Bombyx mori: one gene and its partner. The protein of the gene in region 2 binds, or shares a complex with, the protein of the main gene of each other region. Links are inferred from orthologs where the notes say so. Each region holds a gene or a part of one and is shown on either strand. Other genes may lie near its edges.

The links.
Region 1: vacuolar protein sorting-associated protein 51 homolog (region 2) and vacuolar protein sorting-associated protein 54 share a complex: the UniProt entries of both Homo sapiens proteins name them as parts of the golgi-associated retrograde protein (GARP) complex. The link is inferred for Bombyx mori from reciprocal best matches to the Homo sapiens genes VPS51 and VPS54.

Annotation. Positions count from the first base shown.
Region 1 is NC_085118.1:10,581,435-10,587,104, reverse strand, and holds vacuolar protein sorting-associated protein 54, read left to right. Parts: upstream 1-1,968; 5' UTR 1,969-2,127; coding exon 2,128-2,222; intron 2,223-2,502; coding exon 2,503-5,062; 3' UTR 5,063-5,432; downstream 5,433-5,670. UniProt on the Homo sapiens protein: Acts as a component of the GARP complex that is involved in retrograde transport from early and late endosomes to the trans-Golgi network (TGN).
Region 2 is NC_085115.1:1,407,589-1,413,238, forward strand, and holds vacuolar protein sorting-associated protein 51 homolog, read right to left. Parts: upstream 3,770-5,650; 5' UTR 3,400-3,769; coding exon 1,300-3,399; 3' UTR 968-1,299; downstream 1-967. Other genes in the region: uncharacterized protein LOC101737848, read left to right, coding at 4,562-4,736. UniProt on the Homo sapiens protein: Acts as a component of the GARP complex that is involved in retrograde transport from early and late endosomes to the trans-Golgi network (TGN).

The DNA.
Region 1 (5,670 bases), on a different chromosome or scaffold from region 2:
TCACTTCTTTTGAAGAGTAATTAAACTTTCTGTAAATTACCACTATTTTAATCAAGAGTTATTTCATTTCATCTCATACAATACCTAAAGTTCACTTAGTTCATCTCGTTTTCCTTTGTCACCTTCTCATTTCATTCCGAAATCTCATTTCAAAAGAAATCTTTTATTGGACACCATTCAAAGTAAAGGCTAAATAAAGTCTTTCGATTTTTTTTCCTAAGAGGCTCAAACCTGACTATGTTGCTAACACGAACCCTAGCAAGAGCCGTGCTTTGCAGAATCTACCACCGATTCGGAAACGCGACCCAGTGAGAAGATCCGGCGAGAAACTCAGTGGGCTGTGTCTGTGGGTTAATTTACTCGTCGAGCCCTTCGTCGCAAATGACGGGATCGACGAGAACGATGGCCGGTGCTTGAGGTACCTAAAAGGACCGTTAGTGGATCGGGAGGATCCGAAATGACGTGTTTCGTTGACTGCTTTCCATTCTGTCCGCAGGATCGGGAATGTAGTTACCAGCGGCCACGATGAGAGGGTTGTCGTGTTGTGCCGCTTTGTCGAAGTGGCGCATCGATGTCGACTGTAGATACTTACTGATGGACTCTAAGTCCAAGTCGTCATGGAGGTCGATGTTCCTGACGAACCATGGGGTTCCGACGGCTATGCTGCAAAAACGGGATTGAATAATTTGGAGTGATTTTAAGTTAGTGCGGGCCGCGTGAGCGAACACTACACTTGCATAGGTCACGACGGGGCGTATGCAAGTTTTGTAGAGTGTCACCTTATTTATAAGGAACAATTTACTTCGCCTGCAAATCATCGGGTAGAGGCGTCCTAGTATGAAGGTGGCACGGTCGAATACCGTCTTTAAGTGGGGGCGGACTGTCATCCATCTGTCGAGGGTGACGCCTAAGTATTTGACCTTCGGGGCCCACGGTATGAGTTAGTCGTACATTTTTTTATGATTGAGAGATTACTGGTAGCCCGGAGGCCTTTCCAGTTTCACCAGGGGGGCGAGCAAAGGCTCAGCCAGGAGGGGTGGGATTTGCTAACAGCTGCCCAAGCGCCTCCAAAGGAGACCTAACAACTCTAGGGCAGCAGCTTCGCGAATGAATCTACTACCGGATCGGAACCGTGACCCGCTGAGAAGATCCGGCGAGAAAGACAGCGGGCTGATGCATGGGTTAGGTTGCCCGTCGACCTCCTTGTCGAGTTCGACGAGTGCGGTTACCGGGGTCCCTAAGCCTGCTCCTAGTGTTAGAGCTGAAGGCGTCTAATGCAAAGGTTATTGGATCTGATGGATCCGCAAGGACGTGTCTAGGGCGTCGACGGTGACTAGATCCTGCATGATCAGGATTCGGTAATGGTCGTACATCATGATTGGCCGAATGGCAGAGGCGGAGGTGTTGACGCGTCTGGTCGGGAGCGGGATGCTCAATGTGGTATTCGGAGGGCGACCCCTTCTGAAGAGCACCACTGTGCTTTTCGTGGGGTTGATGTCGATGCTCCACTTCCGGAACCACTGTCCCAAGGTGGTAGCTGCTGTCTGTAGTCGCCGATGCAATAACGACTTCTTCCTACACAAGTAGTAGATAGCCGTGTCATCGGCGAAGAGCGCCAAATGGGTCTCCGGAGACCGGGGTACATCATTGATATACAAATTGAACAATAACGGAAGAGGGCGGAGCCTTGCGGGACTCCGGCTGTTACGTGACGGGGGCGAGAGCGCGTTCCCTCGACTCGATATCGGAACGGTCATTCGATGGTTAAGGTTTTTGACAATTAACAAAAATGTTGCAATATGCTTCCTTTCCGCTTAAAGTGATATTTTCCAGGTAGCCTTCCAAATGCGGTTCCCTTTCACTTTTGATGTTAGGCTTCAAATGTTCCTTTTAGAGATTTTAAACGTATGGGCTATATTTTCTTTGCCTCCAAAAACAAAAAACGGGACAACAATTCAAATGTCAATGTCACTTTAACATTTATCAAACGAGATGTCATGTCATCAGTTTTTAAAAAAAATGTAGCTATTTTTTTGCCTAAGTTCAAGTTTTCTTAGAGTCAATATTCGAAATTCATAAAGAAAAGTGTACTTATACATACAGAAATCAATCTATACTAAAAATGTTATGGAGGAAAATTCATCATCAAGCACGAATCCAGCATGGCAAAACTGTTCACACTGCCCCAGCCTTGTTTTCAGCACAGCAGCAGAATTTGAAAGGTTTAAAATTAAGACTTATTTTATAAATTAAGTGATCTTCATCTTATTCAATTAAGCGACGTCGGCACCTATAGCTATGCTCTATGATTTGGTATTTAGTTAATGACTCGGCGCTCGCTGAACGTAAAAGCAAATACATTAAGTATATATGGCTAATACAGATGAATGATATGGATGTTCACAAAAGTTGCTGTTTGAAATGGCTAGCGATATACCCTTCTATAGATATTCCTAAATGTTTTGTAAGCCCAATACTTATATGCTAATATTTATTTTACAGACATATACTAGATAAGCACTCCATAAAAGAGGGAACCATAATCCTTTGTCAATATGGACAAAATGGGATGTGCTCTGCATTACAATTTGGAGATTTACGGAAAGCTGGTTTTAAGTACCACATCCGAGAATATCATACATATACCAGGACACCTAATGAGTCTTGGACATTCTATTCTTCTTCACAAAATCTCCCTGCAGTACTGAATGATCCGAATAGAGGTAAGCAGAGCAATTTCTTCACGAAAACATGGGGTGACAGCTTTGTGGATAAAATTGATATACTTCCTAGTCCTTATTTACCAGATGTAACATTGACACATTTTGAATCTTATTGTAAAAAAATTGCTAAGAGGTACCGAAGACATTTAAGACTAAAAGAAAATTTGCCAGTTAAAAATAAAACTGCAATCATAGAAAATGATTGTGAAATACCAGATATATTCTATGAACCAGGTTTGCCATTAAATGATCCAGTGGTTTTCAGTAAAGTTTTTCCAAACCTTTGTAGTTCTGTAGATAATGATGTAGCTATAAGATCTCTGCAAGAAACATTGAGCACTTATCTGGATGTAATAGAAATGAATATTTCAAAGCAAGTAGCACAAAGATCAGATGCATTTTTTCATGCTATGCTTTCACATGATACAATAATGGAACAGATGGCAAAAGCTGTCAATACTGTTCAGAAAACAAGAAAACATATTAACCAAGTTAAAAAGAATCTGACTGAATGTCCATTGAAATTAAAAAGCTTAACTAGGATAAATTGTAATCTTGGTCATGTTCATGAAATTCTTAAGCTAATGTCAACAGTACAACAGACTCAACCTATGATTCAGCTATTACTCAGTACATCGGACTATGTTGCTGCATTGGATTTAATAGGCTCTACACAAAAAGTATTGTCAACTCGACTTACAGGCATACAGGCATTTAGACACTTATCTCCACAATTAACTGAAATGAAAAGGTTAATTCATAAAATGTTAAGTAATGAATTCCTAAAATTCATTGTATGTGACTTAAATAGACCACTAATAGATGAAAGTGACATTCCTGAAAAAGATAAAATTATATCAATTGTTTCTGGCATTCTTCGTCTCAAAGAATTTGATTTTCTAGACACATTTAAAATGGAAGCTATGACATCTATTCAAGCTACAATAAAACAATCAGTAATTGAAATTATTTCACAGCGAGATGGTTGTTTTGAAATTGTTTTAAGAGGATCAAATGCAGATAACATGTGGCTATTGTGCAACGAAGGCATTTTATTTTTGCAAAAAGTGACTCCAAACTTAGTTATGTTATTTAAAAGAATACTATCATTAACAAATTTGATTATAGATGTAAGTCAAATGGAAGATGTTAATGGGAGTGATAATGAAGAGATTTGGTCAGCTGAAGAATTGACATCTATTGAAGACAAATTGAAAAAAATGATTGTTTCATTGTCAGATTACTGCAATGAAAGATGTGCTAACCTAATTGTAACTAAAACAGACAAAGATTATGTGTGTTCTGATATGTCACAGTTATCTCTCCTATCAAATTTGATTAAAGAATTTTGCACCAAATGTGAGGATGTAACCGGATATTGTAGTAATGCCATGAATTTGGCTCTAAGGAGCTTTGCTATGAAGTATATACAGACACTTCACACTGAACGCAGATCTCAATTAACAGCTTCTCTAAATGCTGAACGATGGAAAACTGCAGATGTTCCATATGAATTGCAAAGTGCAATCACAAAAATATGTGAAATTCAAGAAATACCTCCTAATTTACTGTATGAAAGTGGGAAACCAGACGGAAAATATCTTTTTATAAACAAAGAAAGCTATGCTCTGGTAGGGACAGTTCAACTACTTATAAAAATTTTATTGGAATACTGTGATGCAACCAGACAATCTCCCATTATAGTTCAGTATTTAGTTCATTGTATGTTAGAATTATTAAGATTGTTTAATTCTCGGTGCTGCCAACTTGTTCTCGGTGCAGGGGCAATACAAAGTGCTGGACTTAAAACTATTTCTACATCCAATTTAGCTCTAGTATCTCGATCTTTACAGGTTATATTATGGTTTTTACCTATGATAAAACAGCTGTTAGAGAAAATACATTCTTCTGAGGTATCATTGAGCGGTTTTGTTGCTATTGAGAGTGATATTGCTAGCCATAAACAGGAAATAGAAAATAAGATTTGCTTAATTGTAAGTAATATGTTATGTTCTCAATTAACAGGGTGGGATGCAAAGCCCCCAGTTCCTTCTCAAACATTCCGCAATATTTCAAAACATTTAGTGAAGTTACATGAAGCATTAATTGATATTTTGCCACCTGAACAAATAAAGTTTATATACAAACGAGTACATGATAATTTTAAAGATAAATTAAGAGAACAACTAATTAAAATGAATATAGTTGCTAATGGAAGCCCCCAACATGGTGTAGTGACTTCTGAATTGACATTTTACTTACAAACTCTAAAGACACTCAGAGTTATAAACGATAATGATGCAGAAGACAATATACTATATGACGTTTGGTTAAATTAACTTTTCCAATATTTTATGTAAAGAAAACTATCTATTTATAAATATTACATTAAGTCATCACTTCTACTTAAAATACTTTATGATGATGAAATATTGTTCTCAAATGCAATTGTAGAAACAAACCAAAAAGGTATTTTTATTTCAGAACTAGTTAGCAAAATAAATAAAAATTATCGGTTTTGAAAAAATCGATGATTAAGCTATTGTCATTTTTTATTAGAATCTTTAGAGGCGATCATATTATGTACTATAGATAACCAATCTGAACATGGAGATGCGATTGATAGGTATTTAATCTAAAGTTTAAATTATTAATCTAACATGTATTTATTTCAAGTGTTTTAAGTTTTAATATAAATATTTATTTTAATTCAGATGTGTTTTTTCGAGTATATTTAAACAAAAAAAGGATAAAATAGCTGACAATCCTAAACGAATCCAAGTAAAGATTTTCTGAGATTTTTGCTTTCAACACACGACGGCTATTGGTATAGCTTAACTATGGAGGGTAGAGGTAAGGAATACCATCTTGTACAGGAAACAGGTTTAAAAAGTGCCCACCTGTAAACATCAAAATTATTGTTGGTAGACTGACCGAAATAGTGCTA
Region 2 (5,650 bases):
GTTAAATTTCTTTTTGTGAGCTTATTTTTTCAGAAGTCGTATGCTACGAAATTTGTTTTTAATATAGCCGTACCGGGTGTAAGGCTCCCGACAACAAAGACAGGTGGTGACTGATGATTCCTGAATAAGAAGTGTGGATATAAAATTAGCTAAGGCCACAATATCGTGATCATGTGCAGAACTTGTTCTAGTACATGCAGGATTTACTAGAATATACTAGACGGAACATACTAGAATTCGCATACAGAAACTACAAGTATTTACATATAGCTGAGCAAAATTGTACCATAATTATTTTTACACTAGCGTATTATAATGAAGTACAGGGGCAGTGCCCGCTAATTAATATCCTTAAATTATGCATATTTTTCGTGTGCTAAAGTTTCCTTTTCTAAATCGGGATTCTTACACTCTATATGTAAACAGATTAAATATTATTTACTATCCACTGAGACTTTCTGATCCAATTCATTAGGAAATAGTGAATCTATTGCAATAGTAAATTTCACGGTCTAGTTGTATCCATCAATTAACATCAACATGATTTTAACTTCAAATCATTATATCTTCAATACGTCACCTGTTTATAGATTCAAGATTAAGGATGAAATATCTGTTGTTGCCAATAACTATCATTACCTACTTATCTTTTTTTTTCTTAATTAATACATCAACCTTGATCATTTACCACTACGATGAACTAATCTAAATGCGATGATCATCATAATTTTTTTAGTGAACTAGGACCAAAATATATAAATAATGTCTGTTTTGAATAGTATATTAAAATGTTTTTAATTTTAATGATGTTTATCTACGTGACTAACAAAAATGCAAAAAACAGAGTAGCAGTCTTGTGAGATTTATGTTTTAGAAGCATTTAACATGAAATTTTATAAATGTAGATGATATTATTTTTAATATGATGCAATTTTGATTAATGGGTTATAAATAAAACTACTAAAAGTATAAATAATTGTTTGTTTATTTAATACTAGCGACCCGCCCTCGCTTCGCTTCGGAAACATTAAAACACACATGAAACCAAAAAAAAAAAAAAAAAGTAGCCTATGTTCATCAGGGACAATGTCGGCTTCTAATGGAAAAAGAATTTTTCAAATCGGTCCAGTAGTTTCGGAGCCTATTCGAAAGAAACAAACAAACAAATCTTTCCTCTTTATAATATTAGTATAGATAGTATAGATTTAAGATTGGTATTTAAGTCCCTAGACTAATCTAAATTTGAATCATATGATAATTAAGCCAGTTTTATCAATACAAGCATCATGTTCTTCTCCTTCAACCTCTTTCACAAATAATATCTACAATACTAGGTTCCATTAGTTGTGGGTCAACGCATCTCAACTGTGCTGATGCTAAAGCATCTTCAAGCAAAGCATTTAGAAGCCTCTCATCATTGCCCATACATGAAAGCCTTTGCTGTAGAAAGTGAACATCAACTTGTAATTGCTGTAGGCCATGCCTTCCAAATGTGCGTAGGCGCACACATTCAACTAATGCTTTCAAAGCTACTTTTAGGGCACCATTTGATAGTGCAGCTCTGTCTGCCCCTGCAGGACTAAACACTTCAATTCTTTCAGAGAATATCCTATTAAGAGGTGAAAAAGAAGAAGGAGCACGTGACCAAATAGTACGCCGACTGGAGTCACTAGAAGGTTTAATACTAGTTGGAAACAGTTGAGATGCAGCACCATCAGCACTAGCTAAGGTCTCCACTACTCTTCTGCATACTGCTCTTGGCCCCCTTGGTTCTGGAGCTCGCAACCAATCTCTAGCTAATACAGATACTCTCAACATTTGGGCTGCAGTCTGGCCAATAAATACAACTTCTGAATCTAGTGCAGTCTGCGCTGCAGTAGATAAGTGGACCATGACACTACTAGTATCCTTGTTATCCACAGTGAGGCCAGGAGCAGCCTCTTCTAAGAGTTTGAGAAGATGGTTCTGTAATGTCGAGACACCAGTCTCTTGCATATCCAAACATAGCTTAGCTAGTATAAGTAGCAATTCAAAAGGAATGTTGTTATTTGAAGTCTGAAGGCAAGCCATCTTTTTTACCAGATCAGAAAGATTAGCCATAGTTTCATTTATGACTTTTGAGCAAGCATCAGCTACTGCTTTTGCACACCAAGGTTTTAATCCAAATGATAAATTATTTTGTAAGAATGCCATTAGATCTAAGAGTGAGGCTTGGATTTTTTGCATCAGATATACTTGAAGGGAGTTCAGTATATCTTTTAAGTCAATTGTTTCTGATCCTTTACTGGCCAAAGACTGCCTTACTTTCATAAGACTGTCTTTAAATTGAGTCTGTATGCTCTGGTACTGTACCATAGCCTTGTGATTTATACACTGAATGACAACCTCAGTGCCTTTACTGGACATCATATCACTTGATGATATTTCGGTCATAGCCTGGAGTTTTCTGAAGAATTTATCAAGGCCCCTTATTAACATTTCAGTTCCGTTGTTCTCAGGTCTTTTAATGACCTCTTCGAATAAATGAAAAATTTGAATCATTATTTTATCAGCAAATTCGGGTATGATAGCTTCCTGTTCGAACATTTCATTGTAACATGATATTATAATAGCTAAATCAGCCAACAATGTATTATTGCATTTTTCTACCCAGTCCAAAATGTCTGTATGTTCAGCTATAGAACTGAGCATCTGCAAGTGTTTGTCAAGACGACTCTCTGCACAACTAAGGAATATATCTTGTAAGGATGAATCACTTTCTTGGAGCTGCCTTAAAAGGGCTACACTTTCAGCAAGTTCAGTTGCAGATGTATTAGGACTGATAAGTCTTTCACGGAGTGTCTTCTTCAGTTCAAATATAATTTCTGAACACTCAGTCTGTATGCTTTGGAATGAAGGCTGATTGCCATATTTTTGGAGTACTCGCTGAGCATGTGAATAGTCTTGTACAGCATCACTGTATCTGCCTTCTGCTATTGCTTTGTTAAGTTGAGAAGGTAGAAGGAAAAGGAACTGAAGTTTATCTAACAGCTGTCTTGTACCACACAAACGTCGAACATTATTACCGCTGCCTTGGAGATTTTCAGATATTTGAGAGCTGAATGTAGTTATTTTATTGATATTCTCGCTAAGTTTATTCATTTCTTCTTGCATTATTTTAAAATCGGAACGCATTTTGCGTACAGTTTCGGTCGCCGAAATAAATTTATTATAATTTTCATAAACCAATGTCTGCATTTCTGATTGTAGAAATTGACTTTGAGTTACAATTTCCGCTTCTTTGTCCATTACTTGCTTTAGGGTAGCGCATTTTAGAAGACAATCTAAGTAGACGTCTGGGCTGAAACTACTGCTGTCGATGTCCAGAGGATTTTCTTTAACCGCTTTGGCTTCCTCCATATTATGTACTTTGTTCAATAGGTATAAAAGTGATTCGTTTAAAGCTAATCTCCTTAATAAAATATATTTGCGGTTTATTGGTTCGTCTGCAATTCTAATTTACCAAAGAGAATAACTATTTAGAAACACAACATTTCAGCTGCGAGGACTGACGTCGATAAGACCTTATGAGAATGAGAACAATTATGTTTATTTATACTATTTCCTACTTTACTAATACTCCGTCTTATAAATGCAGTTTTAGAATAAACATTAAAGCTTATATATTTTATTTCTGTATATACAATAATGAACATATGTATACATTGTATACTATACATACATATAGGTATGTACGTTTGATAATATTTCCCCATTTTTTTAAATAATTTTTTCTGGCTTGGAAACAAAGTCTTTTAAGCCAAATTAGCTTTTATTATTAAAATTTATGCAAGGTAATCTTTATCATACGTACTGCTATGTACTGCGTTTTTTGAATATTTTATGACTGGCCTGGTAACAAGACCTTTAAGCGAAGTACTCAGTACTTACTAGTCCACTGAGTTTCTCGCCGGATCTTCTCAATGGGTCGCGTTTCTGATTTGGTGGTAGATTTTGCAAAGCACTGCTCTTGCTAGGGCCAGTGTTAGCAACAGTTTGAACCGGTTTGAACCCTGTGAGCTCACCACGTCAAGGCGAAGCTGAAATAGCCTCTCAAAGCTATCAGCATTGGTAGGGAAAAGTACTTATATTCATTTTAATTATATTACTTATGAGCATACACGGGTAATGCACTAAATATAGAAAAGAACCACGGGTACTGTATTATTTCCTATGGTAGTTCAGAAGATCCATGGTGGAACATCCACGCAGCCTTCCTCTTCTTCTTATTACGTTATCTCATGTTATTGCCCTTATCTCACTTCTTTTAATTCTCTTTTAATTCTTTTAATATATCCCATCGCTCCTTTTGAGTTTTCTGACAACAGCCAGCCTTTCATAACAAAATATTTGGTTGTATAGTCAAATATATCTTTGCCTATAATAACGAATCAACCAAAAAAATATATTTTGAAGTTTGTGTGTTTAAATTTGAAAACTTTCTGTTGCGAATTGTTTTGTGATTTTTTTGCTAAAATACTTCTCATATACAATAGAAAACTTGGGAGCAAAAAACGTAAGGATGGCTCCTCGAGATGTCCCCAAACCTACGCCTAAAGTGCAACGAATTGTAGGGAAGACTAATCAGACTAAAGGACGCGCTTCGCCTGCGTCTGTTAAGAAAACGATGTCGTCTATCAAAAAGGCGACTGACAAGATACCTTTAAAATGTAAGATTCCATTTTTACACTCTCGAGGTGAATCTATTCAATATCTCTTCCTTAGGCTTGAGGTTTGAATTTCCAAAGATTTCTCAACGGATGTTCTTCAATTCCGAGAGCCGTAGGCCTTTAATTAAAATTTTTTTTTTTAAATCTCGTTTAAAGTTTTCATTTTATTATTTCCGACTTTTAGTGATCACAAACGGCTTATGTATTATTCGCCAACATTTGCATATTGCTCTAAGAACGATCTTATCAAGAGAATCAAACTTGAAATCCTTAAAATGCAAATTGTAGTTCCTATTTACATCCGAGGACGTCGTGTATTAAAACCAAATAACATAAGTAGCAACTGAAAAATTCAATAACTACTGTGATATCTTGGAAATTTGTGTCCTAAGGAAAGCACTAAATTTGTCAAAGTCATATGGAATGGAAATGAAATAAATAAAAACAAATAAATAATTTCTAAGGCAAGGCTGAAAAGGCACTTAGAATACCTGACTTAAAAACTTTAAAGTCAGGTATTTCTAAGTGCCTTTTTCCTTATATTTATTTTTGAATAGACTCTAATGAAGGCTTCATGCCTCCAAGTGGTCTCTGAGCTCTTACACCCAATATATAATATGTAAAAAAAAAACTAGTAATTACAGTCAAAATTTGTTATAACGACGTCGAAGGGACTGCTTATATTCAGTCGTAAAAACCGATAGTCATAACAACTGGTGATGTTTAATGTGTATCGTGCAAGTACAAACAAATTGATAGGGAATTATTGGAAAAATATATTTATTCAACTATGTACATAAGTACAATGCTATTTTTCTGTGAGCATAAAATCTGCAATTTTGGTCTGTTTGGAACACTTCTGCTGTGCATAGATATTTTGTAATTCACGTTGGATTTTAATTAACGTATCGTCATAATTGCTGTGGATGTGTTCATTAAAA